Astyanax mexicanus: one gene and its partners. The protein of the gene in region 4 interacts with the protein of the main gene of each other region in a pairwise test. Links are inferred from orthologs where the notes say so. Each region holds a gene or a part of one and is shown on either strand. Other genes may lie near its edges. The genes, in order: mcm10, protein FAM124B, bifunctional polynucleotide phosphatase/kinase and trim37.

The links.
Region 1: the proteins of trim37 (region 4) and mcm10 interact in a two-hybrid assay, tested with the Homo sapiens proteins (2 studies listed by BioGRID and IntAct). The link is inferred for Astyanax mexicanus from reciprocal best matches to the Homo sapiens genes TRIM37 and MCM10.
Region 2: the proteins of trim37 (region 4) and protein FAM124B interact in a two-hybrid assay, tested with the Homo sapiens proteins (2 studies listed by BioGRID and IntAct). The link is inferred for Astyanax mexicanus from reciprocal best matches to the Homo sapiens genes TRIM37 and FAM124B.
Region 3: the proteins of trim37 (region 4) and bifunctional polynucleotide phosphatase/kinase interact in binary tests that used the Homo sapiens proteins (3 or more experiments, as listed by UniProt). The two-hybrid records come from large-scale screens. The link is inferred for Astyanax mexicanus from reciprocal best matches to the Homo sapiens genes TRIM37 and PNKP.

What each region holds. Positions count from the first base shown.
Region 1 is NC_064409.1:12,340,526-12,347,766, forward strand, and holds the start of mcm10 (protein MCM10 homolog), read left to right. Parts: upstream 1-4,217; 5' UTR 4,218-4,566; coding exon 4,567-4,573; intron 4,574-6,155; coding exon 6,156-6,392; intron 6,393-6,497; coding exon 6,498-6,806; intron 6,807-7,241. UniProt on the Homo sapiens protein: Acts as a replication initiation factor that brings together the MCM2-7 helicase and the DNA polymerase alpha/primase complex in order to initiate DNA replication. Additionally, plays a role in preventing DNA damage during replication.
Region 2 is NC_064411.1:43,418,443-43,425,594, reverse strand, and holds the start of protein FAM124B, read right to left. Parts: upstream 3,007-7,152; 5' UTR 2,658-3,006; coding exon 2,584-2,657; intron 1,331-2,583; coding exon 1,299-1,330; intron 1,111-1,298; coding exon 323-1,110; intron 1-322. Other genes in the region: cul3b (cullin-3b), read right to left, coding at 5,749-5,880.
Region 3 is NC_064425.1:32,500,844-32,508,304, reverse strand, and holds the start of bifunctional polynucleotide phosphatase/kinase, read right to left. Parts: upstream 3,014-7,461; 5' UTR 2,864-3,013; exon of another isoform or gene 2,837-2,863; intron 2,631-2,836; 5' UTR 2,577-2,630; coding exon 2,456-2,576; intron 1-2,455. UniProt on the Homo sapiens protein: Plays a key role in the repair of DNA damage, functioning as part of both the non-homologous end-joining (NHEJ) and base excision repair (BER) pathways.
Region 4 is NC_064427.1:11,628,282-11,635,189, forward strand, and holds the start of trim37 (E3 ubiquitin-protein ligase TRIM37), read right to left. Parts: upstream 3,003-6,908; 5' UTR 2,846-3,002; intron 2,055-2,845; 5' UTR 1,992-2,054; coding exon 1,971-1,991; intron 536-1,970; coding exon 434-535; intron 1-433. UniProt on the Homo sapiens protein: E3 ubiquitin-protein ligase required to prevent centriole reduplication. Probably acts by ubiquitinating positive regulators of centriole reduplication.

The DNA of each region.
Region 1 (7,241 bases), on a different chromosome or scaffold from region 4:
TCTGACTTTAACTCCAGCATCAGCTCACCAATCCGTCAGCTCACAGTAGCAGTAATGCAGCGCCTTTACTGCCTAAAATTCGTTTACTGTAGAAAAACTGAAAAATAAATGGAGGTTTTCTTTGTACATAATTTTAATTTTCAACATCAAAGGATTTTCTGGCTAAGTGAACAGTTACTGTTTAATTTCACACTAAATAATCTATTACTGTTTTTTATTACCACCAGAGGGCGCTGTCGAGTGAGCCCAAAACGAATAAGTTCCTATGGAGCAATTGAGCATTTTTGTGTTCAAAAATGGTTAATGTTATCATTTCATCAACATAGAACAATAGTCATTTTCTGATATAATGGTGGAGAAAAAAAAGTAGGCAGTCTCTCTATAAACCAGCTCTGATATTACAGCTTTATTATCGAGGTCTACTGTTTTTAACAGCGACACTAAAACCACAGAATACACACTAAATAATCTATTCCCGTTTTTGACCACCAGATGGCGCTGTTGAGCCCAAAATGAATACGTTCTTAATGATCCATTGAGCAAAATCTAAGTTTATAAATGTTTTATGTTCTCATTTCATCAACACAGAACAAATATCACATATTTTAATACCGCAGATATAATGTTTTAGGTTTTAAACTCCAGTTATAAATATTTTAAACTCAGTGCTCTGACTGTAACTCCAGCATCAGCTCACCAATCCGTCAGCTCACAGTAGCAGTAATGCAGCGCCTTTACTGCCTAAAATTCGTTTACTGTAGAAAAACTGAAAAATAAATGGAGGTTTTCTTTGTACATAATTCTAATTTTCAACATTAAAGGATTTTCTGGCTAAGTGAACAGTTACTGTTTAATTTCACACTAAATAATCTATTCCTATTTTTTTACCACCAGAGGGCGCTGTCGAGTGAGCCCAAAACGAATAAATTCATATGGAGCAATTGAGCATTTTTGAGTTCAAAAATGGTTAATGTTATCATTTCATCAACATAGAACAATAGTCATTTTCTGATATAATGGTGGAGAAAAAAAGAAGGCAGTCTCTCCATAAACCAGCTCTGATATTACAGCTTTATTATCGAGGTCTACTGTTTTTAACAGCGACACCAAAACCACAGAATACACACTAAATAATCTATTCCCGTTTTTGACCACCAGAGGGCGCTGTCGAGTGAGCAAAAATATACTACGTTCATATGGATCCATTGAGCAAAATCTAAGTTTATAAATGTTTTACTTTCTCACAGTAGTAGTACTACAGCACTTTTTACTGTCTAAAATTCGTTTACTGTAGAAAAACTGAAACATAAATGGAGGTTTTCTTTGTACATAATTCTAATTTCCAACATTAAAATAATGTTCTGGCTAAATGGACAGTTACTATGTTTAATTTCACACTAAATAATCTAGTTCCGTTTTTTTACCACCAGAGGGCGCTCCCGAGTGAGCCCCACAATTTCACAATGGAGCAAAAAACTGAGCGAAATTCGGGTTTATAAATGTTTAGTGTTCTCATTCCATCAACACAGAAGAATATCACGTTTTTTATACCGCAGAAATATTTTAAAGCTTTTAAACTCCAGTTATAAATATTTTAAACACAGTGCTCTAACTGTAACTCCAGTATCAGCTCATCTTCCAGTCAGCTCACAGTAGCAGTAGTGCCTTTACTGCCTAAAATCTGTTTACTGTAGAAAAACTGAAAAATAAAGTGAGTTTTTCTTTGTACATAATTCTAATTTCCTACATTAAAGGAATTTCCTGGCTAGGTGAACAGTACTATTTTTATTTTGAGTTTCAGCTATTTAGCTCCATTCACCCCCATTCATTTTGGACTCATTCCCTCTAGAGGTTATCAGCAATTTCCTGATTTAACGGTGGAGATAGTACAGTGGGCAGTCTCTCCATAAACCAGCCCTCATATTACGACTTTATTATCAAGTCTACTATGTGTAACAGCGGCACTAAAACCACAGAACCTCTACACAGGAGAATGCACACAAAATAATTTATTGCCGGTTGGTTTTTTTAACCACCAAAGGGCGCTTCTGAATAAGCCCCACAATTAATAATTTTCTACGGATTAACTGATCAAAAAGTTTATAATATTTAATGTTCTCATTTCATCACCACAGAACAATAGTTCATGTTTTAATACCGCAGCTATATAGTTTTTTAAGTTTTCAAACTCCAGTTATAAACATTTCAAACCCAGGGCTTGAGTTCGATCCGTTTAATGTAGAAAAACTAAATAATATAGGGGGATTTTCTTTGTACATAATTATGATTTTTCAAAATCAAAGAAATTTCCAGGCCAAATGGACAGCTGCGATGTTTCATTTTTTTTTCTATTTTAACAGCGACACTAAAACCACAGAACTTCTACACAAACGATTGCCCACTTAATAATCTTTGCCGGGTTTGTTTTACCACCAGAGGGCGCTCCCAAGTGAGCCCAGATTTAATAGGTTCATATGGAGCAACTGAGCAAAATTGTTGTCAACAAATGCTTGATCATTTGTACACTGAAAATTTTACTTACATTTTTTTAACACAAGACAAATTAAAATGTTTTTGTACCTCAGACATATACATTTTTAAAGCTTTTAAACTCCAGCTATAAACCTTTTAAACTCTAATGCTTGCGTCTTTACTGCCTATAACCCGTTTGCTGTAGAAAAAATATATTGGTATGTTTTCTTTGCCTTTTCTTTGTCTTTTCAGTAACTTTAATCTACTTTATGAAATTAAATGAATATATTGGCCAAATGGTTAGTTACTATTTTTATTTGAGGTTTAATCTGTTTAGAGTCATTCACCACCATTCACTGAAGACTCACTCGATGGCTCCCTCTAGCGGTTAAAAGTCATTTTCTCATATATAGGGCATATATGAAGGTGGACAGTCTCTCCATAAAAACAGCTCTGATATGACTTTAATCTGTTTCTGAATGAATGCAGGAGGCTCCCAGCCATGTCTGATCTGAAGTTAGTAATCTAGCCTTCTGTTTCACTGTATGACAACACGGCTAAACACTCATTAGGTAGCAGGGAGCTGTCATTTCATCACTACAGATCCTACAGTGGCGATTCTAGGATCAGAGGTTTAACCTCGAGATATTCCAGAAGCAGAAGACCTTATCAGCAAAAATCCAACAAAGTGCAAAAACAACAAAGACAACCTAAACCTAAACGCAAATCATTTTCCAATAACTGCAAAGGATAAATATTATTTTACATTTGATTTTTAAACTTTTGTTTGCAGGTTTTATTAATTTGTGTCAAACCTTTGGCATAAAATTAACTCCATATATTTTCATTGTAAAAATAATATGTATACTTTTAAGGTTTGAACATTTAAAAAAAAAATTACTAAAAACAAACTCTAGTGTAACTACCAAAAAAAATGCCATAAAACAAAGGTCTGCTTAAAAAATTGCAAACGAACACTTAAAAGCTTCCAAAAATATTGTGATATTATGATATGGAGTATTTTCATTGTGTCAAATTTTTTTTTATTAAAGAAGCACCTAGTCAATATTTTTAAAACTGCAGTACACATATTTTGGACTTATTTTTAAGGATTTGTAAAATGAAAGCAAAATCCAAACACAAAAACTCTCCTGTTTTCACCAGAACTGTCTGTCTGGAGAATAAATTGTGTTCTAAAACCAGGTGTTTCTGTTTGATTGTCCAACCCCTGTATTTTCGTTATTAAAATAATATGTATAGTTTTCAAGGTTTGAAAATTTGTAAGACAAATTTACTCAAAACAAAAAGAAAACTACAAAAACACCCCAGTAAAGGGCTAGCGGCGCCTGTGATCACTACACTGACTTTAAGTTAGGTCTGGTAGTTGAGTGTGGGCAGCAAGTCAGCATGTGTTACGTTTCAGATACGAACGGTATGATCTACACTGCATGAGGACGAAGAACTTTACCGCGCAGATGATTTGAAGATCAGCACCTTAAGGACCGCCTGGCATCCTGTGTGCGCCTGTAGATACGAAGCGGGAGACAGAGAATCGTAAAACCCATTAATAATCAAATCAATTAGAAACAGAATGTTATCTATATAGTGTCATTCATAAACGATATCTATACATAACATACATAACTAAAATTACTTCTCTGTTATTATTACTCTTAATTCATATATATGTTTTTTGAACAGGCACTGGTGTTGCCTTTTGTACTGACGTCGGTTTAGGGCGTATCATATTTTAACATTTTTCGCGCCACCGCAGAGCAGCAGCAGACGGGAACGGGCTGAACAACATTTTACCTGGATTTGGAGTCCATATTCCTGATATATTAAATATTTAGGAATATAATAAGCCCGGTACTGTAGCATTGTTGTGATTGGTGTGTTGCTGGTGTGAGAGCTGGGGGGCGGACTGTGTGTTATTCTGTTTTTGAGTTCAGAAGAACAAATCGACAGATCTGTTCTTCAGAGCTACAGATTCATTTGACCCTGAAAAAATACTGAACATCAGACTCATCAGAATCTTCCATCAGATAAACACAGCGCTGCTTCAGTTCAGAGAGAAGGACTGGAGCTGCAGAGATGACTGGTAAGTAGATCTAGAAGCTGGTTGAATTTGGCTTTTAAACTTTCCACCTTAAATGGCGCGCCGGTTACATACAGTAGCTCATAGTTCGCTTCAGACAGCGGCGGGTTTTAACCCTTTTAGACCCTGCATACTTTACAATAGACATCATGTATTTTCTTTATTTTTAAACATTTTGTTGCACATAACACTATTTAAGAGCTGTTGTCCATCAGAACAGACCATGCAACAGCCAATTATAAACGAAACAGCAGCTTGGTCACATCCACTGCACTGGGAAAACAGTAGTACTAGAGCCATTAAGGCAAAGTAACTTTTTTTTTTTTTTTTTTTACAAATATAATGATAGTGATAAAATATAAATATAGTGATTTAGAACACTTTTTAATTTTACTGTTAATAAAATAAAAATGTCACTATAAAAAAATAAATTATTAAATATTCCAGGTAATAGCTATGATTTATTTGTTTACCATTATTTCCATCACTGGAGATAATTCATGTCTAAAAGGGTTAAGGTGGAGCTGGAAATTAGTTTTTTTTGTTGTTTTATAAACAGAGCTTGTTATTAGCAGATTTAGAGAATCTGTCTTACCTCGTCTCTGTTTGTGTGCCTGTTGTTCATATGGTTTATTATTAGGTAACAGTTATTGTTTGGTAAAAAGTCAGGCAAGTTAGATTAGCCATCGTTAGATAATTTAGCAAAACCAAGTTAGTTAACCTATAATGGTTATAATTATGTTTATATACATTATGTAAATAAGTGAGTATACTCCCACATTTAGCCCTGGTAACGATAATTACGTCATAGATTTACTGTACAATATACGGACATGAGCTCAATACATTTACGAGGCTTTGCTGATATCTTTACAGTCCATTGTTTTGTCAGCATATTTACAGTCTGCATATAAACTACAAACAAACAATTAAAAGTAAATAGTGTAAATCAATCAAATACAAAATAAACAGCTTCCATTAGGTATTTTACAAGGAAGATATATTGTCCCAGAAATTATTACGATAAACAATATTTTTGTAATTTTAAGACCATTAAATTCAAGTAATTATAATGATAATATAGTAGCATGACAAAGCAATTAAACCCTTACATAAACAACACAATGTTAATTAATCATAGATTGGGGGATATATGCTTAATTCTTCCCCTACTGCTGTCCACAACATGAGAATGGAGTGGACAATATCATGAATATCAAATATTATTGAGGGCATGTCAATTTATTGTATGATAAGACAATAATGTAGTTATTGTGAAAGGCCTAGCTTCCAAAAATATCGACATATCACAATATGGTTTCAGTGTGTCAAAAAACATTTATATGATACAATATAACACACCACTAGTTCACTGCTCTTTAGGAGGGTGTAATTGTAGTGTCATGCTTTAATATTAACATTATATCAGTGCTGTAAATTCTACACAAGCTTTGGGTTTGTGTTTAATATGGGATTTCAAGTATCCTAATTGTTAGATTTCAATAATAAATATAATTACTTATCTTTCTAAGTTTTATGAAGATGGACTTTATAATGCCAGTGCTTTCTGATTTACGATTAACAGCAGAGGATGAGAACCTGGACCTGCTGCTTTCCTTGTTTGAGGAGAGTCAGGGTCAGAAGATAGAGACTTCTGCTGCTGGAGAAGAGGACAATCTGGATAATCTGTTTGATGATGATGGTGATGAAGGAGAAGCCTATGCTGAGCCAGAAGAAGAAGAAGCAGAAGAGGTTGTGGAAGCTGCAAACTCAAGTGCAGAAGTGGAAAGTGAACTCAATAAATCCAAAGAGGACTTGGAGGGTAAGGTTAAATAGTTTTACGCTAATGTAACATTTTATTTAAATAAAAATTACTGAGAATCTTAAGTTGACATGTTCTATTGAAATTCCTGTTGTAAAACTTTAGCGGAGTTGAGGAGCATGCGTGAGAAGATGCAGAAGCTACAGCAGCAGCTGCAGGCATCTCAGAAAGGTGCAGATTATAAACCCAAACCTGCTGAAGATAAACCCTCCTCACAGAAACAGATAAGCAGCAGAACTTCACCAGCAGCAAAGCTTCCTGCCAAGCGCCTGACCTCTCCTCAGCAGTCTAGCAAACCTGCTCTACAAACACGTCTTCCCAGCCAATCCCCCCCATCTGCACCGAGAGGGGCTATAGGGTCTCCACCTCTAGAAACAGAGGGCAGGCAGATAACTGCACACCAAGCCAAAGCAGGTACATGTTTTTTCTTATGTATGTACAGAGAGCAATTAAACACAGTTAAGATGCGATCAGTAGAAAATAAGCGCTACAGCAGTCCAGTTTCAAAACACCAGATAGAGTTGTCTGCCCTGCCCACCCTTCCACAGACACAAAGCTCACTCGGGTTGCCAAGCTGAAAACACTGAACCTACACAAACAAGTGCAAGACGAATTCAACAACTTCAATCATGGCAAACGACATTATTAACCATCTTATGTGGATTTTATATAACTTTACATAATGAGTGTTGGGGAATGAGAAGCAGGCAGAGGCAGAAGCCAACACCCACACTGGTTTCTGTGATGTACTGCACAGTTCTAGTAATAAAATACTGGGTTTAGCTCTGCAGACAACAGATGGCAGTGCTTGAACTTTGATGATACACCCTAATTGTTTTATCATTTACT
Region 2 (7,152 bases), on a different chromosome or scaffold from region 4:
TACTACCTCTTTACAGTTTTCCAACTGACAGACCAAAAGCTGTACAGGACTAGGATAGTAGTTGTATTCAATGTAACTTAGCCTTAGTATTTATTTGTTTACCAAAAGACTGGCTGACTTTCTTTGTGCACATTTCCGCTATCTACTGTGATCTACTGTGGATTTCTGTGGTCTTTATAAGGCTTTTTGATTCAATGTAGTAGCAAAAAGCACCTGCCTAATGCCAGGCATAGCCTGGAAAAGTATATCTAGTAGAAAGCCTTCCCCAGAGGACTGTTTCAGCAGTTACTCCAACAAAAGCAGGATGAATGAGCAACCTTACCTGAAAGAGGATCTTGTTGCCATCCAAGTCTTCGGTCTGCCAGCGGGTGGCACTTATAGGTGAACAAGGGTTCGGGAGCAATGGCACCAATTGACCAATCTCGCCCACTCTAAACTGCAGCACAGCAGAGTGGCATGTTTCAACCCTAACCCCAGGAGAGAGCTGTTTGAGGGCGAGTTGCAGACTGAGTCCCCTCTCTGCCATCAGGGTGAACCAACAGAACCCGGCTTTCTGCTCTTCTGCCCTCCTCCTCAGAACAGTTTCATATAGCCTCACAGTGTCCTCGTAGTTATCATAGCAGCTGTGTAATGTCAGACGCACCACTTCCCCTCCACAGTGCACCGGCCGTACCCCCCACACTGGCATGCCAGTGCCCAGGCTGTAGAAGTCCCGGCTGGGCAGCAGGTACGGCCGCAACAGGGCACTGGAGGGTGAGCTGGTGGAGCTGATGTGGACGCCCTGTCCCGTCCTACTTCCACAACTCTCCGTGTGGTGGTACTGCCAAGGTGGACACTGGAGGAAGTCCAGAACTCTGAGGATACGCTCCTCCCCATACGACTCATGCAGGAACAGGGTTACCGCCAGGGACGGGTAGCCGGCCACAGGTGGCAGGGCGTAGTCACGCACTGGACAGGCGCGTTCCGACACATGGAAGAGGCGAAGACCAGGGCACACCCATTTCAGGAGGCGGTCCAGGGTGTGCTGGAGGAGGAGAGAGTCTCCAGGGTTGGCCAGCAGGTGCATGGTGACCAGCGGGGGCTCCTGACCCGGGCCTGCCATGAGGTCAACTAATCGCAACAGACACAAAGAGGCAGAGGCGGGGAAGAGGGAGGATTATAGAAAGTGCTGAAAGCATAAAAACAGGTTTAAAATTGTGGCTTCAAGCTGATTACTGCAACATGCAGTGGGTTTAACATGAACATGACTGAATTGCAATAAAGACCTAATCCAATTTAAGTATACAAACTGTACTTACGGCTGCTGCAAGATATTTTGCTGCAGTCGGACCTGCAAGTAAAGACAGTCAGAGCTGTGAACAATTCTTAGCTTACCACAAAATACTCTAATATAGACTTCTTGTAAGTATTTTGGACAATTTTATGAACATTCTTAGGAAGATACAGGTACAAGTCCCAATATTACTATTAATAATAATGCTACTACTACTGTTACTACTACCACTATTACTGATACTACTACTACTACTACTGTTACTACTACTATTACTACTTTTGCTATTGTTACTACTACTACTACTACTACTAATAATAATAATAATAATACGAATATAAACACTTTTAAAGAAATATATTCAACAAAAAAAATTAAATCAGTTATTTTTCTTCTCATATTTATGATGTAAAATTAACTGTAGCATGTGATATCTCGATAAAGCAAAGCTTTTGCGAATACTTTATAAATGCATAACTTTATTGTTATTATCATGACTATTATAAATAATAATAATAATAATAATAATAATAATACGAAAAATCTTAGAAACCTAACCTAAGTAACTTATATTTTTGTATGATTAATTAATTCACAGCGGTGGGGGGGAAAGAGGCAAATCTGAAATCGATTAACGTAGATTAACGTTAAAATAGATCTGAAAAGAGTCTTGAGACTAGTTATAACATCTGTTTGCATTGCTTATTCTGAATATTTCAGTTAACTTAACGTTATGCTTTAACTTTAAAAAAAGACAGAGAAAAAATATATATCGTTCACAAAAAAAAAGTAATTAATTCTTATTAAACATGGGCAAATGCTGTGGGTTTGCTGGCTTTTATTTATCAAACAATAAAATTAAAAATATCATACAAATAAACAAGTGTTTTTTGTTGTAATAAAAAGTATATTAATATTAGGAACCTAAGTAATATATATATATGTATAATTAACGTTAGTTAACTAACTTAACTTCACAGCGGGAAAAAGGCAATCTGGAGTCGATTAACGTTAAATTAGATTAACGGTAATTATTTTAAAATAACATAAGATAACTTTATTTTTTTATCTGAAAAGTCTTGAGAATAGTTCTAAACCTTTCTTTTCTCGTTTTTTAATTGTTTAGTTACACTTTTAGTTGAAAAAGACAGTAAAAACAGTGAATTCCAAGTAATTAATCCAGTTCAGCGTTTTTATAGCTGCAGCGGCTCTCCGTCGCCCTCCTGGAGACACCAAACAAAGTCACTAAGCGACCCTCAGCCAACAGTAGCATCTGATGCTAAAGCTAAAGCTAACTATAAGTAACTCACCCTGCGGTCTCCGCTCCGGAGTCTGCGGGCTCATCCTCCACCCTGCTGTGGTATAGGTAGGGTTTGCGCAGCATTATTCCACCATTTACTCCTTTTTTCTTGTCTGAATTCGTCGTCAAGTGACACACGAACTTTCCATTGCGGAATAAAGCGACCCGCTGCTGCTGCTTTGTAACGTTAGATAAATTTAGGTAAAGTTAACTAAGCTAGTTAGCTAACGCTAGCTAAGCTAGTTAGTTGTTTTGGGTTTTGTCTAATTCAGCGTAGTAAATAAAACTAGACACGTCTTTTCCCGTCCCCTAAAAGTGTTTAACAGTGCTGTAAGACTAACTACGTGATGCAAAGCCTCCAGCACAGCTTCCAAAAATGCAGTCTGCAGTATCCAGCTGTATGGGGAAAGGCTACCCCCAGTCTCTCAGACTGGGAATTACAATTCAAACAGATGGCTGTCAGCCCACGACTGGCTGAGACAAAAGAGCAGCAGACGGCTCTGAAAAGATTTTAAGGTACAGGCAGGGTGACCCTGGTATTATTTATTTATCTGGCGAGTTTTAGACATTGTCTGTTCGATTAACCCCCCCACACAGACACGGTGTGAGGCATTCTGAGACAGTGCTATTAGCCAGTTAACAGTTACAGTCATCAACATTAATGCAGTGTATAAGAGAGAAGCTTAACCCTCCTGTTATGTTACAAAAGTTTAGGAAAAATAGTAATTTTTTTCAGGTTGAAACTTAATTAGTGTAACCAACAAAAAATATGAAAATGTTGAAAATTATTATGTACACAGTATCAAAATGCCATTTTTGTGTAAATAATTCTCAGTATTTTTTTGCATCAAGTCTGAAAGCTCTGCATCTATTTTGTTATTTCAGACATTTCTTATTTTCTGCAAATAAATGCTCTAAATGACAATTTTTTTTTATTTGGAATTTGGGAGAAATGTTGCCCTCCTCCAAGTCATAATTTTAAGATAATACCCCCAGATGTATGTCTTCAGCATATTGTTTAATTCTTTTAGCCAAATACTTGATATACGCTCAAATTATAAAAAAAGATTACTGCAAAACTTTGCTTGAAATTATGTCCTAGACAGATATGTAAATGATTACAGGTGTGGTCTGATTAGAAACTGGGTATTTCCACAATAAACAATGACATTTTAACCCCTGCTTTCCTATAAAAAAGAGGAGCTACTTTTGGATAGTGTACCTTATGGTGAGAGATTGTTGACGGTTGGGACATTAAGACAATTTGGCCAGTTGAAAGACTTTGAAAAGTAGCACATCATTGGACTGGAAAAGCAAGATGGTTGTTTCACAAATTGTCCACAATCTAGGCCACCTGTCAGCCAGGCACCATCACAGTGCAGTGGTGTTGTGAGACTATTGTGAACACGTTGCTGTCTTTGCTGTGGAGTGACACTGCGCCATATGCTGATGTTATGATAAAATTCAGTCTCGGGCTGCTAAAGGCTTTTTCAATTTGTATGTGTACGTTAATCCTTAAGGTAAATATACAGTAGGGGTGTGCCATATTGAGTCGTTCGCGATAATATCGGAAACATTTTTGAATATCGTGAACGATATTATACCCTAAAAATATTGTGCCATATCACCCACCCCTCATGATCACATCAGGGTACTCATTTTTTTTGCTGTTTTTAGCAAAAGAATAATCACACTGTTTTCATTTTCCATTATATATCTACTAGAGACAGATTATATCTGTCCAGTATCATTTATTTTATTTTAATCCTGGATATATGGGGATATTTGGAGTGCATTATTATTAGTATCGTATACATAAATCATATGCAATATAATAATAAAATAATATAATAAAATAAAAAAATCATTTTGTTGCAGTAGTGTATTCTTAAATACAAACAAATAATTAATTTATATCGCCAAGAGTATCGTTGTCGCGAAAATACCATGAAATATCGTGATATTATTTTAGGACCATATCACCCACCCCTAATATACAGTCTGGACTGTTATGTAACAGTTTCAGGTTTTTGGAACTGGCCCATATTTTTCCCTATTATACTCATGTTTATTAAAATACCAACCATATACCAAGCTTTACTGTGACAATGGGGGAACGTGATTTCTTACAATGCAAATAAACACCCAAAGCAGCAAATCCATTTATTTTTTCCTCCTTTTTCTACATTTAATAATGATGAAAACAAGGCCCTGTACAGTCCACTTCAGTGAGTACAATAACAATTATTTTACAATTTTTACACATTGAGACATGGTGCTCCAGAAGTTCCTCCTTTGCTAGAAGAAAAAAAGGGAAAAAAAACTTAATAATAATAATAATAATAATAATAACTGCATTGGAAGGACCCCCTACAAAAAGCTAATGTTTAAATTTTACATTTGGCCATGCCAAATCTGGAAAGAAATATGGAAAAAAATACAACCAAACCACTTCTTTAATAAACTTTGAAAAAGTTATTTCACCCCTCTTCAGAAAAGGCATGCTCAGAAAGCAACTACTATGGCTCTTCGATAAACGACGACGTCCTCCTTTTTAAAATCTTCTGCAGGCAGCCAATAGTGTTAAACAACCTGTACAACCAACATGGTGCCACAGACTACAAACACGTCTACACAGACATTGGGGGGAGGGAGCTGAAATAAAAATCAGTCTGGGAAGGTGTGCGTATTACACTCTGACCTGAATGGCCTTCAGGAGCCATCCCGCGCTGGAAAGAAAAACAATAAACCCACATCACTCTTGTCTTATTTGGGCACTTTCGTTGTTGGATTTGTAGGTCAGGTTTATAGGCTTCATCGCGACTCTATCACAGTTCTCTCACAGAGACGGACACCTCGTCTACAAGCCCAGAGCTGAATCTGATCCAGCTCCATGGGGGCTTTGGAAGGCTTTTGTGTGAATCGCTAAGAGCTATTTAAAACAAGTCCGTACAACAGGTTAAAGGTTAACTTCTCAGTTTTCCCCAGTAGCGATGAAAAAAAAAAGAAGAAAAAAAAGAAAAAAAAAAAAAAAGAAACAAAACAAAACAAAAAATAAATAAAAAAAACAATTAACCTCCCAGTTCATGCGTATGACCAAGTCCCAGAACTAATGCTCTCACACTCACGCTCCCTTTCACTCCACACCAGGTTTCACTTGAAATTCACGCCGCGTTTATGCTACGTAAGTGTACACTTTACGGTCTTCTGGCGTTCTTGCCAAGTATTCCCTCTCAATAAGTCCTTCAATGCGCTTTTTAATGACCACAGGACTTGGGAGGAATCGTGCCCGCAACTGCTGAGTGACCTGCAGGAGAGTGAAAGAAAACGGTTGGGTGGTTAACAAACATTAAACAGAAAAAAAGAGATAACATTTAAATAAACTTATTTTATAAATATTAAACATAATGCTTGTCATGCATTAAATATATACACTTTATTTTAGTAATCTGTGAATTCTGGTTGTGTTTCACCATATATATATTCCTTTAAAGACTTGAATATTTTTGATTGCTGAATTACATGTACAGGTGCTGGTCAACGAATTAGAATAATTTGAAATAGTGCAATCATGAAATTCTTTGAATGCATTTTTTGTGCAGAAAGCAAATCAGGTGTTCACCGCACCTGTCCTACTCGTTAGACTAATCACAGAACTCGTTACCTGGAAAAAAAATTGCTCAGCTGAGCTTTCTAAAAGGCCCATTTAGGCCATTTAACTGTGACACTGTTGTTTTATTGAATTAGAATAATGGAGAAACCGTTTCATTGAATTAGAATAAATGCTCGAATTTTTGTTTTCTGTGAAGAGTGTTCACTGTGCAGTATAAAGTCAGGGTTGAGTAGAATTTAAGTTGTAAAATCAATCATGGGTAAGCAGCGCGACCTCTCAACCGGAATAGTGGCTCAAATTCAAGCCCTTCGCCAACAAGGCTTGACCCAAACTAAAATTGCTGAGCAGCTCGGCATCAGCCAGTCTTCCGTCTGCAAAGCTCTCAAGAAAAACTGCAGCAAGCGCACCAACTGTTCCGGCGTCCGAAAAACTTCTGCTCGCGACAACAAGCAGCTGAGAAAGATCGCAGTCAGCAACCGGTTCAAGTCCACTTCCGAGCTCACCGACTTGTGGAACAAGCAGACCGGCGCTGACGTCTCCAGATCAACCACTTACCGTCGTCTGCGCGAACTCGGCTTCAAATCTCGCGTTCCAGCAGTAAAACCGATGCTGAACAAGAAACAAATGGAGAAACGGCTGAAGTGGGCCAAAGAACACGGCGAGTGGACTGCTGAAGACTGGCAGAAAGTGGTCTTCAGTGACGAATCACGCTTCTGCATCTCCTTCGGTGACCAAGGTCCTCGTGTCTGGCGTCGTGGTGGCGAAACCTACAACCACGAGTGCGTGAAAAGATCCGTCAAGTTTCCCCAGAGCGTTATGGTCTGGGGATGCATGTCCGCTCGAGGTGTAGGGAAACTCTGCTTCCTCAAGAAGACGGTCAATGCTGCCGTATATCAAGATGTTCTGGAAACGTTCCTGATTCCGACTGTTGAGGAACAGTTCGGCGAAGAAGACTTCATATTTCAA
Region 3 (7,461 bases), on a different chromosome or scaffold from region 4:
AGTGGCAGCGCTTTAGACCGCTGGACCACTCGGTGCCACTCTCCATTTTCTTAAGATCATCCTTGAATTAAAGGAGCTTTGATGTAATATTCAGTTTCATCATGGGCATTCATTTACAGAAAAGCCAACTTTATTATTCTCTGTCCACGACATAATTTTCTTGTGGCCATGACTTAATTATCTCATTTACATGCCTTAATTATCTCTTTCCCAACCATTAGTATGTTGTTCCCTAGCCTTAATAAGTCGTAGCCACACATTAGGATGTTGTTCCCACTCCTTAAAAAGTTGTGCCCTTGCCTTTTTTTTTTTTTACATTATGTCACCATAATTTCCACCGATTAGGATTTCGTTCCAACACCGTAATGAGTCGTGGCCATGACTTAATTTTCTCATTCACACACTTTAATTATCTAATTTCTACCCATTAGGATCTTGTTCCCACTCCTTCATAAGTCGTGGACATGCATTAGTACCTTGTTCCCATGCCTTAATAAGTTGTGGCCACAATTTAATTTTCTCATTCCCACCAATTAGAAACTCATTCCTTTGCCTTAATTATCTCATTCCCACTCTTTAGTATCTCATTCCTATGCCTTCATAAGTCATGGCCACAACTTAATTATCTCAGTCACAAACATTAATTATCTCATTCCCACCCATTAGGATCTCGTTCCCACAGCCTAATAAGACATTGCCATGCATTAGTATCTAGTTCCCATGCCTTAATAAGTCATGGCCACAACTTAATTATCTCATTCACACACCTTACTTATCTCATTGCCACCCAGTAGAATCTCATTCCCACGCATCTTGTTCCCATGCCTACATTTTTTTCGTGGCTACGACTTAATTATCTTATTCCCACCCATTAGAGTGTTGTCCCACGCCTTAATAAGTTTCGGGAACGCATTAGCATTTTGTTCCCACAGGTTAGTAAGCTGTGGCCACAACTTAATTATCTTATTCCCACCCGTTAGGATGTCATTCCCACACCTTAATAAGTTGTTGCCACACATTAGTATCTCGTTCCAATGCCTTCATAAGCTGTGTCCAAGCCTTCATTTTCTCATTTCCGCCCATTAGGATCTCGTTCTCACGCCTAAATAAGTGGTGGCCATGTCTTAGTTTTCTCATTCACACGCCTTAATTATTTCATTCCCACCTGTTAGTATCTTGTTCCCATGTCTTAATAAGTGGTGGCCATGCTATATTTTTTTGTTAAACATGATGTCACCTTAGGGCATACCTGTCAAGTTTTGGACTTAAAAATAAGGGATTTTTTCCGCCGCCCCAACAGCCCAAACGAGGGAAAAAAAAAAAAAAATATATATATATATATATATATTATATATATATATATATATATATATATATATATATATATATATATATATATATTTATTTATTTATTTATTTAATAGATTTAAAATTGAAATTGAAGGGTGCACAAATTTACAAAAAGGACATGGATCAGATATATTCCATAAGTAAATAATAGTCCTAAGGGGCCTACACAATTAATAATCTTTCATTAATACTTCTTTCTATTGTTCAGTCCACTCCTGATCAGTTCAGTTAATTTCAGCCCTCTCCACATTTTCTCTCTCTCCAGCTCAACCATCTCTTCCACCCCTTCTAAATAATACATTACATTACATTATAATACATTACCACAATACTTGAGATTTAAACAAATTCTAACAAACCCTAAAACTAGCCCTGAACTAATAGAGTTTGGAAATGATAGTTATTGGCTGATCAGGCACATCAGGGCAGGGCATTATATATATATATATATATATATATATATATATATATATATATATATATATATATATATATATATATATATATATATATATTTTTTTTTTTTTTTTTTTTTTTTTTTTTTTTTTTCTCAAACCCTGAATATCTATCTAGCTAATTCTAAAGTTAAGCTGTATTTTATTAAACACACAGTGGGTTTAATTTATGTTTTGATTCAGAGAAGAGTCTTTTTAACCAGCTATCAGAAACAATCTCATCACAGTTTACATGGTTAATTACCTTTCTTTTAGAAAAATCTCCGTATATCCAGATTAGTTTTAACGACAGCTGCTCCGACTAGCTGCCTGAACTCACAGCGAGGGGAGGGGCGGGGCTTCCCGCACACTAAACTGCGCTCCGCAAAACCAGCTAGCTGATTGGCTGTTTCTCCTGAAAGGCGGGACTTTCTCCTTGAACCGGCACCACGATTGGTTAAGAGACACACAGCGGTCAGTGCATTGTCGCCTGTGGCCTATATATATTTTTTATTTAGTATAATACGGGAAATTTACGGGAAAATACTAAAACGGGAGGACGGCGGGAAAGAGGAATAAAATACGGTAGTTTCCCGGCCAAAACGGGAGACTTGACAGGTATGCCTTAGGGTCTCTGTATAATACAGAAGAGGCTGTAAGGGTGTATTTACCCTGATGTCTGGAACACTGTTTATCCTTCACTCCAGACTCAGGACCCCGACCCAGGATCAGGGCGCGTCCATCACACAGCTCCACCCGGGCTCCTGAGGGACTCAGTAGTGCACACTTCATTCCGAGGAGTGCGGTCGTTTACTTATCTGTTCCCTACGCTCTACGACCAGCAACCTGTAGTTAAATAAAAAGGATTTAATACACTTATTCCTCACTTATCATTTATTTTACGGCTTTAAATCACATCAGAATTATACATATTAATATTAATATAATCCTACATCACAGAACATTTAAATACACTTAGCATATCTTAGCTAACTAACACTAAACTAAACAGAAACAGCTCTCCACCACCTTCAAGCAGCTAACATACTAACCAGCCAAACGCGAAACAGCGCACTGACCAGATTACGACTTTAAAACGCCTTCAAGACTTTAAAAACGACAGAAAACAAGGATAATAGTTAGTCGGCTAACAAACTATCTAAACAGCTACACAACGCGTCCCTTTCAACAGCCCACTCTGTCCCAATCCAGCCCTCGCTCACTTCCCATACGCACTTCAAAGCGCAGGAAAAAACACAGAAAGGAAATAGGGGGGTTACTTTCTTTACAACACATCTAAAATCTCAGTTTATCACCCGTCCTGATAAATATTATTGTTTTAAATACTTTTTTGACCTTTTAAACGCAAGATAAAGTAGAACAAACAATAATACAGTGCGTTATATTGATTTATTAACGTTAACATTAAAAAAGAACAAAAGAGACATCCCTTTAAAATAATAATAAATAGATTTTCCCAAGTGGAAGTCAAGCCACAGCTGTTTTAATGGCAAGACTACCTATTTCCGGTACCGCCCGCTATGCCGTATTATTATAATCAGATAATGCAACTGCGCACCGCTAGAGAGAGCCCGCGAGAAAGTCCTTCATAAATAGAGAAAAATAGAGCTAAACGGCAAAAACTTTATTTAAAAACATAACTAACTATTTACCCTGTATATTAATTGTATTTTGGAAAGTACAATGAAGTATTTTACTAAAAAAGTAAAGAAATCTAGTCTATATTGTTAAATGTCTCTACAGTAAACGGGTTTTATTCAGTAAAGGCGCTAGCATTGCTGCTAGTCAGTGTTGATTGGTTGGTGAGTTCCTACTGAAGGTATTGCTCCTAAGTCTCCTAAAAAAAACTTTAGCATGTCGTTATAACGAGAAACTCTCGTTTTTATGAGCTTTAATATAGTTTAAACGACAAAGTATGTCGTAACAACATAGTATGTTGTAATTATAAAACAAACATAGCATTAGTATGAGAAACTAACTCGTTGTTATGAGTTACTGTGTCGTATTTATAAAATAAATGTCATAATTACGAGAAAATATCTTGTTTTTTGAGATATTGTAATAATAAAATAAACATCCCCTAATTTAGAGAAACTACCTATTTTTAAAAATCACTGTCGTAATTATAAAATACATATCCCATTATTATGAAAAAGTATCTTGTTTTTAAGTAATGTTGTTAAAACAACATTGTATGTCGTAATTATAAAATAAACATCTTGTAATTATAAGAAATCTGTTTTTTGTAAGTTACTATGTCGTACTTCAGAAAAAAAAGGGCTTCTTGTTATGACACGCTAAAGCTTTTTTTTTTTTTTTTATCATACTTGGCACCAATATTATTGCGCAATACTCTTAAACCACTGCATTGAGTCTGTTAATATGGCCCAGTGCTGTGTTCCCTGCTGTATTAATAGATCCGAGTCTAAAAAGACGACCCAACTGTCTCTGAACTGCGTGGGTGCTAACTATGAGATAGCTAACGCTAGCAACCACAGAGAAAAAAGACCCCTTTTGGATATGATTGATATATGCTAGCTATGGATTTAGTACAGTGTCTCTTACTGTATACAGATATTTAGTGCTTCTTTTGCCTTAGATGTTACTCAGTCAAAGTAATTATATCTTTAGCTAGCCTAGCCTGTGGCGCTAACGCTAACTAACTAAGTTAGTTAGCTCGCTTGCTAATGGCAAAGCCAAACTGCCTTTTTCCGATATCCTTGATATATGCTGTGGGTTTATTGCGATACTTTTTTGCTATAAAGTCACATTTTTGTGTTCTGTTCTTTGTTGCCCAACTACAGCAAAGATAAACTCTGATTTTGCTCAGTTGCTTCATATGAACTTATTAATTCTGGAGCGCCCTCTGGAGGCTGAATAAACAGGGTAAACGGTCTGGAGTGGGTGCTCTTCTCTATATAGACTCTCTGTTGAACGAAGGGGAGGAGGAGAGGGGTCTGGACTAAAATTTCCTACAGATTAATGATCTATCAGTTCCTCCTGCAGGCAGTTAAGAGAAAATCATTCTGGTAAAATTACAGCACAGCATAAATATATCACGATTTAACGTCGGAATTAGCTGGATAAACCTGTAATATTAAGAAGTACAGTTCATTCTACAGCCAGTAGGACAGCACCTCAAATCAAACCATGTAAGTAAAGCGAAAGTGAATACATCATTCATTTCTGGGTTTGAGTTCCAATCGGACTTTGAAACTTTTTGGAAATTAAATTATATTTATATTTTTTATAATACTTTATTACGAAAGGGACATGTACAAATTGTAGCATTTATTTGTAGCATATATTTGAACATACACAGGATCTCCACCCTCTTATGAACATATGCATAACTGTTTGAAAGATTTATGGTTTAAAAAGATTTACAAAACATGAATTATCTAAGAGTCAACATGTCCCAACGTGAAGTATTTTTTTATTTTTATTTTAAACAGATATTTTATGAATTGTGTGTCTGAATTCTCACCAGCAAATGATTTCACTTTTTTACTGTAGAGTAATTTACCACAGCATGACTAAAACTCGAATGTGAGAAATCCCAGAGCATAAAAAGATAGATATTGAGTTAAAGTCTGGAATTTAAAATAAGTTAATTTTTACTTGAAAATTGTTTCAGCATTACAGATATATAAAAGGAACATATATCAATAGATACTTTAGAAAAGAGTAAAAGTACATCAACAGGTCAACACAATGTATAATTGTATCTCTATAGATCAACACATTCACAACCCAGAGAGAGAGAGAGAGAGAGAGAGTGCAAATGACATGTAAATCAATAGGATCCAATGCAACTGGATAGTATCTTTTAATTTGGCTACATCAACAGAGTCCAGTTAACAGTTTGTTGTCCAGCTCCAGTGACGTGATCAGCTCCAGCCTGTCTGGGCAGCACGTTCTTATCATGGTGTCTGTGAGAAGATGAAACAGAAGAAAAAAAAAAGGTGTATGGGAAGATCTTAACTAGAATTCATTATGGTCCAGTTAGAGGAAATTTCGAAAGGCCAAGGTCTGGACCGATTGTTAACTTGTGTTATAATTAGGTGCTATATCCTGTAAGGTTGTTTGAAATGAATGATAAAAAAATATATAATAATAATAATAATAATAATAATAATAATAATAATAATAATAATAATAATAAATATAGCCGCAAGCGGCAATCATCGGGTTCAAGCACCAACTTGCACAATGGTGCCTACTGGAGCATTGAATGGTGATGTGTAAGAAGGTCTAATATGATTGGAGATGCCCTGTCACATTTAGAAATTATCAAGTTTTTCACCTGTTATTAATGTTGAGCAGAGGCCTTTCAACCTGATCAGTGCTTAAATTCACATGTAAATCTAGTGAACTTTGTAGGATATTCATTAAGTGAGTTAGAACTAGTCAAAAGGTGTCTACATGTTATTGGTATTGATCAGGTGGCTTCAACCAGAATGTTCACAAAGTGGTATTCAGATTGACCTTTGAACCTTTGCAGAACAAGCTGAAATGTTTGACCAAACAAGTTTAAATTAACACAAAGGAGTGAATGTTCTGATATGACATGTAATTACGAAGTTATTATAAATCTAGTTCTGAATTAAATGGCGCTTCATCAAGCACCAACTAGCACAATGGTGCCTACTAGAGCATAGGATGGTGATGTGTAAGAAGGTCTAACACAATTGGAGACATTCTGTCACATTTAGAAATGATCAAAAGTCTTTCACCTGTTATTAATGTTGAGAAGAGGCACAAAGGAGTGAATGTTCTGATATGACATGTAATGTCAAGTTATTCTTAATCTAGTTCTGTATTAAATGGCGCTTCATCAGAGTGATATTGTACAGAGGTCTTTAACATTGTGAGATTACAGCAAATACTGCAGAGTTACAGCAATTTAGGTTAGAAATTCCAAGGACGCACAGATTGCTTGATGCCTGGAGAGTATTGTATGTGAAATTTTCACAAATGTTTTTAATGAACATTTACCTAGAGACTCTACAGTGTGCAGCAAGACTGAAATGGAGGTGATAGGCCAAATATCCAGAGAGTAGTTTCAATATAGCTATTTTCAAACAATTAGCAATTATGAATGAACAAAGCACTTTTTAAACATAGTTGTATTGAGAAATTTGTCAGAGCCACTGTACTAAATATGGCAAAAACAATTAGATGTCAAAATAGTACAGCATGATTGACATATACTCGTTTTTTTGGAACAGCGCCCCCCAGTGGGCGGATTGTTTCAGCACTTTGCAGGTCACTACAGTGTCTCCACCTGAACATAACTGCCAAATATCATCCAGATTGGGCAACATTCAGCCTGCCAAAATGTCTGCTGAATGCTGATTGGCTGATGGTGTTCAGCCATGTTGATTGATTAAGTTGCCCTTTGAACATCCTTTAGAGGCTGTATGATAGATTCTGCATGCAAAGTTTCAACTTGCTAGGTTGCACGGTTGCTGAGAAACAGTGCTCCAAATTTACCTCTTGAAGTGAATGGGGCATATATCCGGAAGGACTAATTTGCATATGGCGGCCATATTGTTTACATATTTCAACTTTTTCTTAATGAATATTGAAGCGCATGCTCTCACGAGTGTTTTGATACCAAACAGGATTGGTCAAAATTCCTAGGACTAGTTTG
Region 4 (6,908 bases):
ATTAATCTCTCTGTTGTTTGCTTACTGGCTTTCTCACTATGAGAGAGTCCTATGCATGTGCACTGGAATCTGATTCATGTCCTTTTTATAAAATGTATTACTGTTTGTGCCACCGCCATACTTTACATTACCATTACCTTCTTGTGGATGACACAAACACCTTGCTAAATTGTGCTTGCTTACAGACAGTTGTGCAGTTATTCCAATAACAACTGTTCAGCCCTGGGCAGGTATTTCACAAAGTAAGTTTTCTCAGTTTAGCCAGAAAACTCAATTAAAAAAAAAAAAAAAAAAGTTGAAGTTAAAGGACATTCTTACTGCACAATCTAACTTAAGCTATGTAACAAAATAAAAAAATCAAGCTTTGTGTAACACTTCCCTCTATGTGTGTGTGTGTGTGTGTGTGTGTGTGTGTGTGTGTGTGTACACAAACCCGTATGCAGCTGAAACAGCAGAGTTTGGAGCAGTGAGGGCAGAGGCGAGCATCTCGCAGCTTCTCCATACAGATGAAGCAGCGGAACACCTCCGCTATACTCTAAAAGGAGATAAATAAAACATACATCATTATATGACAAATGCATGCAACCATGTTCGAATCCTGTTAGTGGCTTGCCATCAGCTACTGGAGCCCTGAAAGAGCACAACTGGCCTTGCTCTCTCTGGGTGGGTAGATGGTGCTCTCTTCCCACATCACTCCAAAGGGTGATGTCAATCAGCACAAGCCATCTATGAGCTGACGTATCAGAACCGAGTGGCTGCACTATTGTCTGAGTGTGCTGTCATGCTACTCGGCAATGCTGCATCTGCAGCAGTGGCTGAATTCACATGTATTGGAGGAGGCTTGTGCTAGTCTTCACCCCCCTGGTATTGTGGCATTGCTAGTAATAGGGGGAATCCTACTGGGTGGGTTGGGTAATATATCTAATCATTTGAGGTTACAAATGACTCAGAAGACTTCTGAAGGCACCCTGTGGTATTTAGCTCCAATATGTTAGCAAAAGATATTTTAAGTCCTGTAATTTGGATCCTGTAATGGATTGCATAATTGAACTAATGACCTTGTTGCTGTTAAACATGGTTTATTCAGGGACGTTCCAAAAGACCTGCCATTGTAAAGATGCTCAGACCTAGGCCTTTTGCCACCATAATCTGACCTGTCATAGACGCTTATTTGTTTCAAAACTACTGTAAGTATAAAACAAAAATTAATGTAAGGAAAATGCCTTTAAGGACAAAACCTTCACCCCACATCCCACCACTCCCCAAAACACATTTTTTTTTAAACCATGATGACTATAATGTTATATTAAAATGTTAATGTTGATAAATTTGAGATGCACTAGGCTCCCTGTTCAGCTGCATATATGCCCACTGAAAATAAATGCAAACATATTTAAGAAGCTTAGTTGAGTCTCGGCACGGATCATCTTCACACTAGGCTACATACGTCTGTATGTGAATGATGAGAAGCTGGAATGAAAATGAGCTGAAATTAACTAGAAGTAACAAGTATTTTTTAATTGTAAGGAGTAAAAAGTTTAGATATTTGTGTAACATTTTTACTTAAGTAAGGTAATTAAGTATTTCTACTTGACACCTTAGCTCAGATTACACTACTAAGAAAATCAATGTTACTTTTACTGTCAGTGGTGTTAATGCACTGAATGATCTGTTTACATTTCTCAGAAACACAAAAAAACTAGTTGCAAAACTGTAATCAGCTGTAATTTACAATCTCCAGACAACCTAAACTGACAATGTTTTATCTGTAAACATGATGGCCCAATTTCCCAGACCCTGAATCTGGACTACTTCTGTGTGAATCACTATAACCATAATTGCAATTTAGTCCCAAATAGGACTTAATTGAGGTCATCCAGAAAGCTGAATTGACATGCTCCATATTACCAAGCAACTTATAATAATGCAATATAAAGCCTGAACCAAAAAAAAACACACATTCAACCTACCTCTACACTCTGCTCATCCATGTCAGCCAGTTTTATTAGTATTTGAAGATAACCTATGGTCCTTGTGAACAGACCCCAGATGAGCTGATCAGAAAAGAGAAAAGAACAAGATAAGATGATTGGGTGAAATTCATGTCTGAGGTAAAACAACAGACCACTATTGACAAAGCTTGTTAAGCACCATCAGTATGCAAACCTAAGACCTGACCACTACAACAAGCACGTGCAGCAAAGGTATTGTTTTGATATTGGTATTTAAAAATTCACCTTAAAGCAAAAGACACAGCAGATTATTCCTAATTAATTGTGAACAACTGTGGAAAATACAGCTTAGTGCTCTGAATGAATTATCTAAAACAAACAAACAAACAAACAGATTCAGGGCAAGGCCTGATTAAATTAAGCTTTTAAGTTTGGATGTTAGTTTGCTTGTTTCCTAAGCTTAAAGACAGTCTGACTTCAAGCTACAACCCAGACTGTTGTAAAAAGCACCCCTAAAGTAATTAAAATAAAAAGAGCAACATATTAAAGCAGAGTTTAATCTATTTGCACGCTAAACCACGCGATTTATATCAGTTCAGAACTACTAGAAGCAGATAACGCTATATAAACGCCGCCAAATCAGGCTAAACTATCTGGAGGAAAACAAAGAAATATATAAATTACACTCAACTAAAGCGATACGGCGCTGAATTAGGGTTAATCCCGATTTCAATCAGATAAATCGATTGATTAGAGCTCGAGTTCACCCACACGGCTTATAAACAGTGTCTACCTTTAGCATAGCATAGCTACGACTCAGTTAGCTAGCTAACGCTGGCTAGCTTACATTAAATGTTTCTCTGGAAATTAAGGTGTGAAGAGTTTGGCGTTACCTCGCAGTGTGACTCTCAGCGGGCGATATTCTGTATAAAACCTCTACATCAACATTAACTGTCACAGTTCAGTCACCGATATTCCTCCTCCTGCAGCCGTTAGCAGTGCGTTAGCTTAGCATTCCCACTGCTGCTGGGCAGTGTCCGTCACCATGGGAAACCGCTTCCACCAATCACAGCAGTTGCTCTGTTTTACGAAAACCAATCAAAAACGTCCTTGGGAATGAGAAGGTGGGGTTTGATCTCACACCCCACCCACATCTCAAGAAAGCTGCATTGCAGCTCTGCTGCAGATTACCAGTAATCGATCAATACTGTGGAGAAAAGTGAAATATGTATATGTTTATATTATATTTTAGCCTGTTCATACATTAACTACCGTAAGGCAAGACAAGGCAAGTTTATTTATATAGCACTTTTAATACAAACTAAAAAATACACAGTCACATAACCAATAACAATAAAAATGGAAACAAAAATAAAATAAGAATAAAGTATGGATAAAACATGATTTAAATATAACCAAAACAATAAAATAAATAAAGAATAAAATAATAAAGAAAATAAAGAAAATTAACTAAATGAATTAGAATAAAAGTGGCATTACAACTAGAAAGACATTTCTAACAGAATTACAATAAATACAATTTAAATATAAAAAATAAATTTAAGATATGATACAGAACAATGTTCAAGACAATGACAAGATATTATAATTAAAAGAATATGTAAGTAATGAACAAAAAATACTACAAGAAATTAAGTACTAACAATGTGCAAAGCAGAGCAAGTTAATTATTGTGGAATGCTTAGGTAAACAGATATGTTTTCAGCTTTTTCGTAAAAGAGGCTAAAGTATGAGCACATAACTTAATCAGTTACTTTTAGGAATCTGGACAACTATTCAAAACTCAGGAAGATCAGGTTTTTTTATTTACTGTATAAAGGCTCAATCTTATTTCACTCCTTGGCCTTTGAAACTGAGATTTTTCAGAGGCACACTGAAAACAGAGGGTTTGAGAGTCACTGGCAAGATTGTGGCACAAATAAACAAAGAAATCCACAAAATTGAGAATTGTCCTTGTTACAATAACAGTAACTTCTAAATTATCATAGTTTAATGTTTAGTTTTAATGTTTATCGCCATTTCTTTCAGTAACAGTAGTTGGTCTCTAGCGTTAGCTAGCTAAATTCCCTTTTCCACCTTAAATGGTGCACCAGAAGGAGGAGGCTGCACCATTTAAGGTGAAACAGAAAATAAAAGCTAATTTGAACTCCACATCACAGAAGAATTAAGACATGTACAATAATAATTAAGTTCTGCACCACCTGCACCCTTTCTGAAGACCTATTATACCATAAAGTAACTAGTTAACCAGCAGCGAGGTTTCTGGAATTTAGCACTCCACTGCGATAGCTAAATCTGTATCAGGAGCTTGAAGAGTTGTCCCAATTCTTAAGGGGAGGATTTCACCCCCTCCCCTCTGTAACTCTGTCTAAATAGAAAGGGTTATATTCGAAAATAAGAGGTAGGAGTAAAAAATAGAAATGGGATGGAGCCTCAGTCTTTACTCACTCCTCCTAAAGTGGATGGTAAACACTTCTCAAATCGCTAAACAAAAACGAGATTCATAAACAATAACCTTGTTTAACCTGGTGATTTTATTATCCCCTATATCAATTATTGTGAGAATTTTAAACAACGTCCCCCTCAAAGCTCACCTAACAACGAAAGAGAGAGAGAGAGAGAGAGAGAGAGAGAGAGAGAGAGAGAGAGAGAGAGAGAGAGAGAGAGAGAGAGAGAGAGAGAGAGAGAGAGATTTTGTGCTCGTGTCTCCTGAGAGAAAGTGACCCGTATTCTAATCTGAGTGAGCCTGGAGAGCTGCAGCAGCAGTTTGGAGGAACGTGCGGCCTTTATTAAAACGGGCCATTTTGGAACATCCCAAATGTTCTCGTACAAATTAAATAGTTATATACGAAAACTAAACACCCTGTCACAGCTCTGATTCAATGATGAGATCATCCACCGTTACTTTTTAACTTGGCCATTTGTATTAGTGTATTTTGATATGTATTAATAGTGTGTAGGGTTAGCATTTCATTGTGATTATATATGCTTTAATTATATTACATTAAGCTTGTTCTATAAATGTTTTGTTTTTCTTTAGTGTATGAAAGGTTGTTTATCATGATTTAGAGGAATAGTAGAATGTTTTGTAGAAAATAACAGACGCTTAATTGCAGTACGTTTGCTGTCAGAGCTTTTCCATTTAAACAGACCACTAGGTGTCAGTATTGTTCTGCGTTTTCATAATGAATCCAGATCATATAGAATTAAGCTCACTTTAAACCATCCCCAAAAAAAAATAATAATAATAATTACAGTTCCAGTCCAGTACCAGTTTGGCCTGGACACGTCTTAAATTCAGTGGCATTTCATGATTTAGTTAACAAAGAAGTGTTAAACACAACAGAATATGTTTTATATTTTAGATCCTCTTGCTTAGATTTGCACATATTGGCTGGATTTTCTCAGTCACCTGGAACAGCTTTCAGTTAACAGCTCTTCAGTTAAGCTCTTGCCCTCTTAGGGTGTTTGAAAGCATCATTTGTAAAGTTGTGAAGAGTTAGAGTTGGTATACAGTAAATAGCACTAATTCATATTATGGCAAGAACTACTCACATAAACAAAGAAAAAATGAATAAATAAATAAATTAAGTCAATCCAAAAATGTCAAGAACTTTGAAACTATCCTCAAGTGCAGACGCAAAGACCATCAAAACATAAAACTAGCTGTCATCAGGACTTCCCTAGGCAAGAGTTTCCTCAGTTGCACAGGATAAGTTAATCAGAGTTTCCAGCCTCAGAAACTGAAAGTTAACAGCAGCCTAGACAAGAGCATCTAAATATGTCACAGAGTGTTTTGGTTTGTTTAACAATTTTTACGTTACTACATGTTCCTTCTTAGTCTGGATGATTTTACTATTAATTTACAATGTGAAAAAGTAGTAAAAACATTGAATCAGAAGGTGTAGTATTGCATATGTATATAAATTAGTGTTCTGATTGGCTGCCCTATACTGTGCTTATTTCCACAAGCAGTTCAGGTTAAAACACCTGAGCTAGAATGAGCTATACTGCTGTAGGCTGAATTGGACAGTATAAATTGCTGTGGAATTAATGGATAGGGCTTAACTGCTATTAGCTAAATAGGTACAGATAAACCAGTGTAGACGGAGTCAGACTGGAACTCGGTTCTATAGGCGAAATTGGTGGAGCTTAGAACTTAAATTAACTATACTGTTGTAGAGTGAATAGGTGGGGTTGAACAGCTGTAGAGTTAAGTAGAGCTGAACTGCTGAGCTACCAGATTAAGTACAAATGTAATCATTTTACAACATACTACCAATTCAAATGTCACATTTCATTCAGAAACAAACACTGTCAAACGTATACAGGTTTTATTAACAGGGCAATTGCAGATTTTCACAGACAACACAACAATTCCAGTGACTTTTATTTTATAAATGAATGAATTAAAAATGTTACATCTCCTCACAAATAAGCAAATCTTTAAGATGAAACCCAACATTAGCTTTAAATGATTTTAGTGTTTGTGCACCTGTTAGTACTAAAAATCAGTGTAAACACAAAACAACCTGATCAACCCTCTGCGTTTCAGTCGCGAATGACCGTAATTAGTGATCATTTTTGTTACTTGGTGATAAGGCTATGAGTAAATTTGTGTTAAAGGAGATATTTATTGAAAAACTAAAAAAACAAATGTTAATGACTGACCCCAGATTCAGACGTAAACCTGAGATGATTGCTATCTGACGTGAGATTCTTTAGTTTGCAACATGAGATGCTAGGCTAACATTTCTAACAAACACTGGGCTTGTACTGTCATTAAGCTTATCTCCGTAGACAGCCAAATTATCTTGGTAAATGCTACATAAAATCTGTTTTTTTTTGTTTGTTTTTTTTTTTTTAACATGACTTTATAACATTGGCATTGACATTATTTGGAGTCATATTTCAAGTGTCTAAGAACAAGATCTC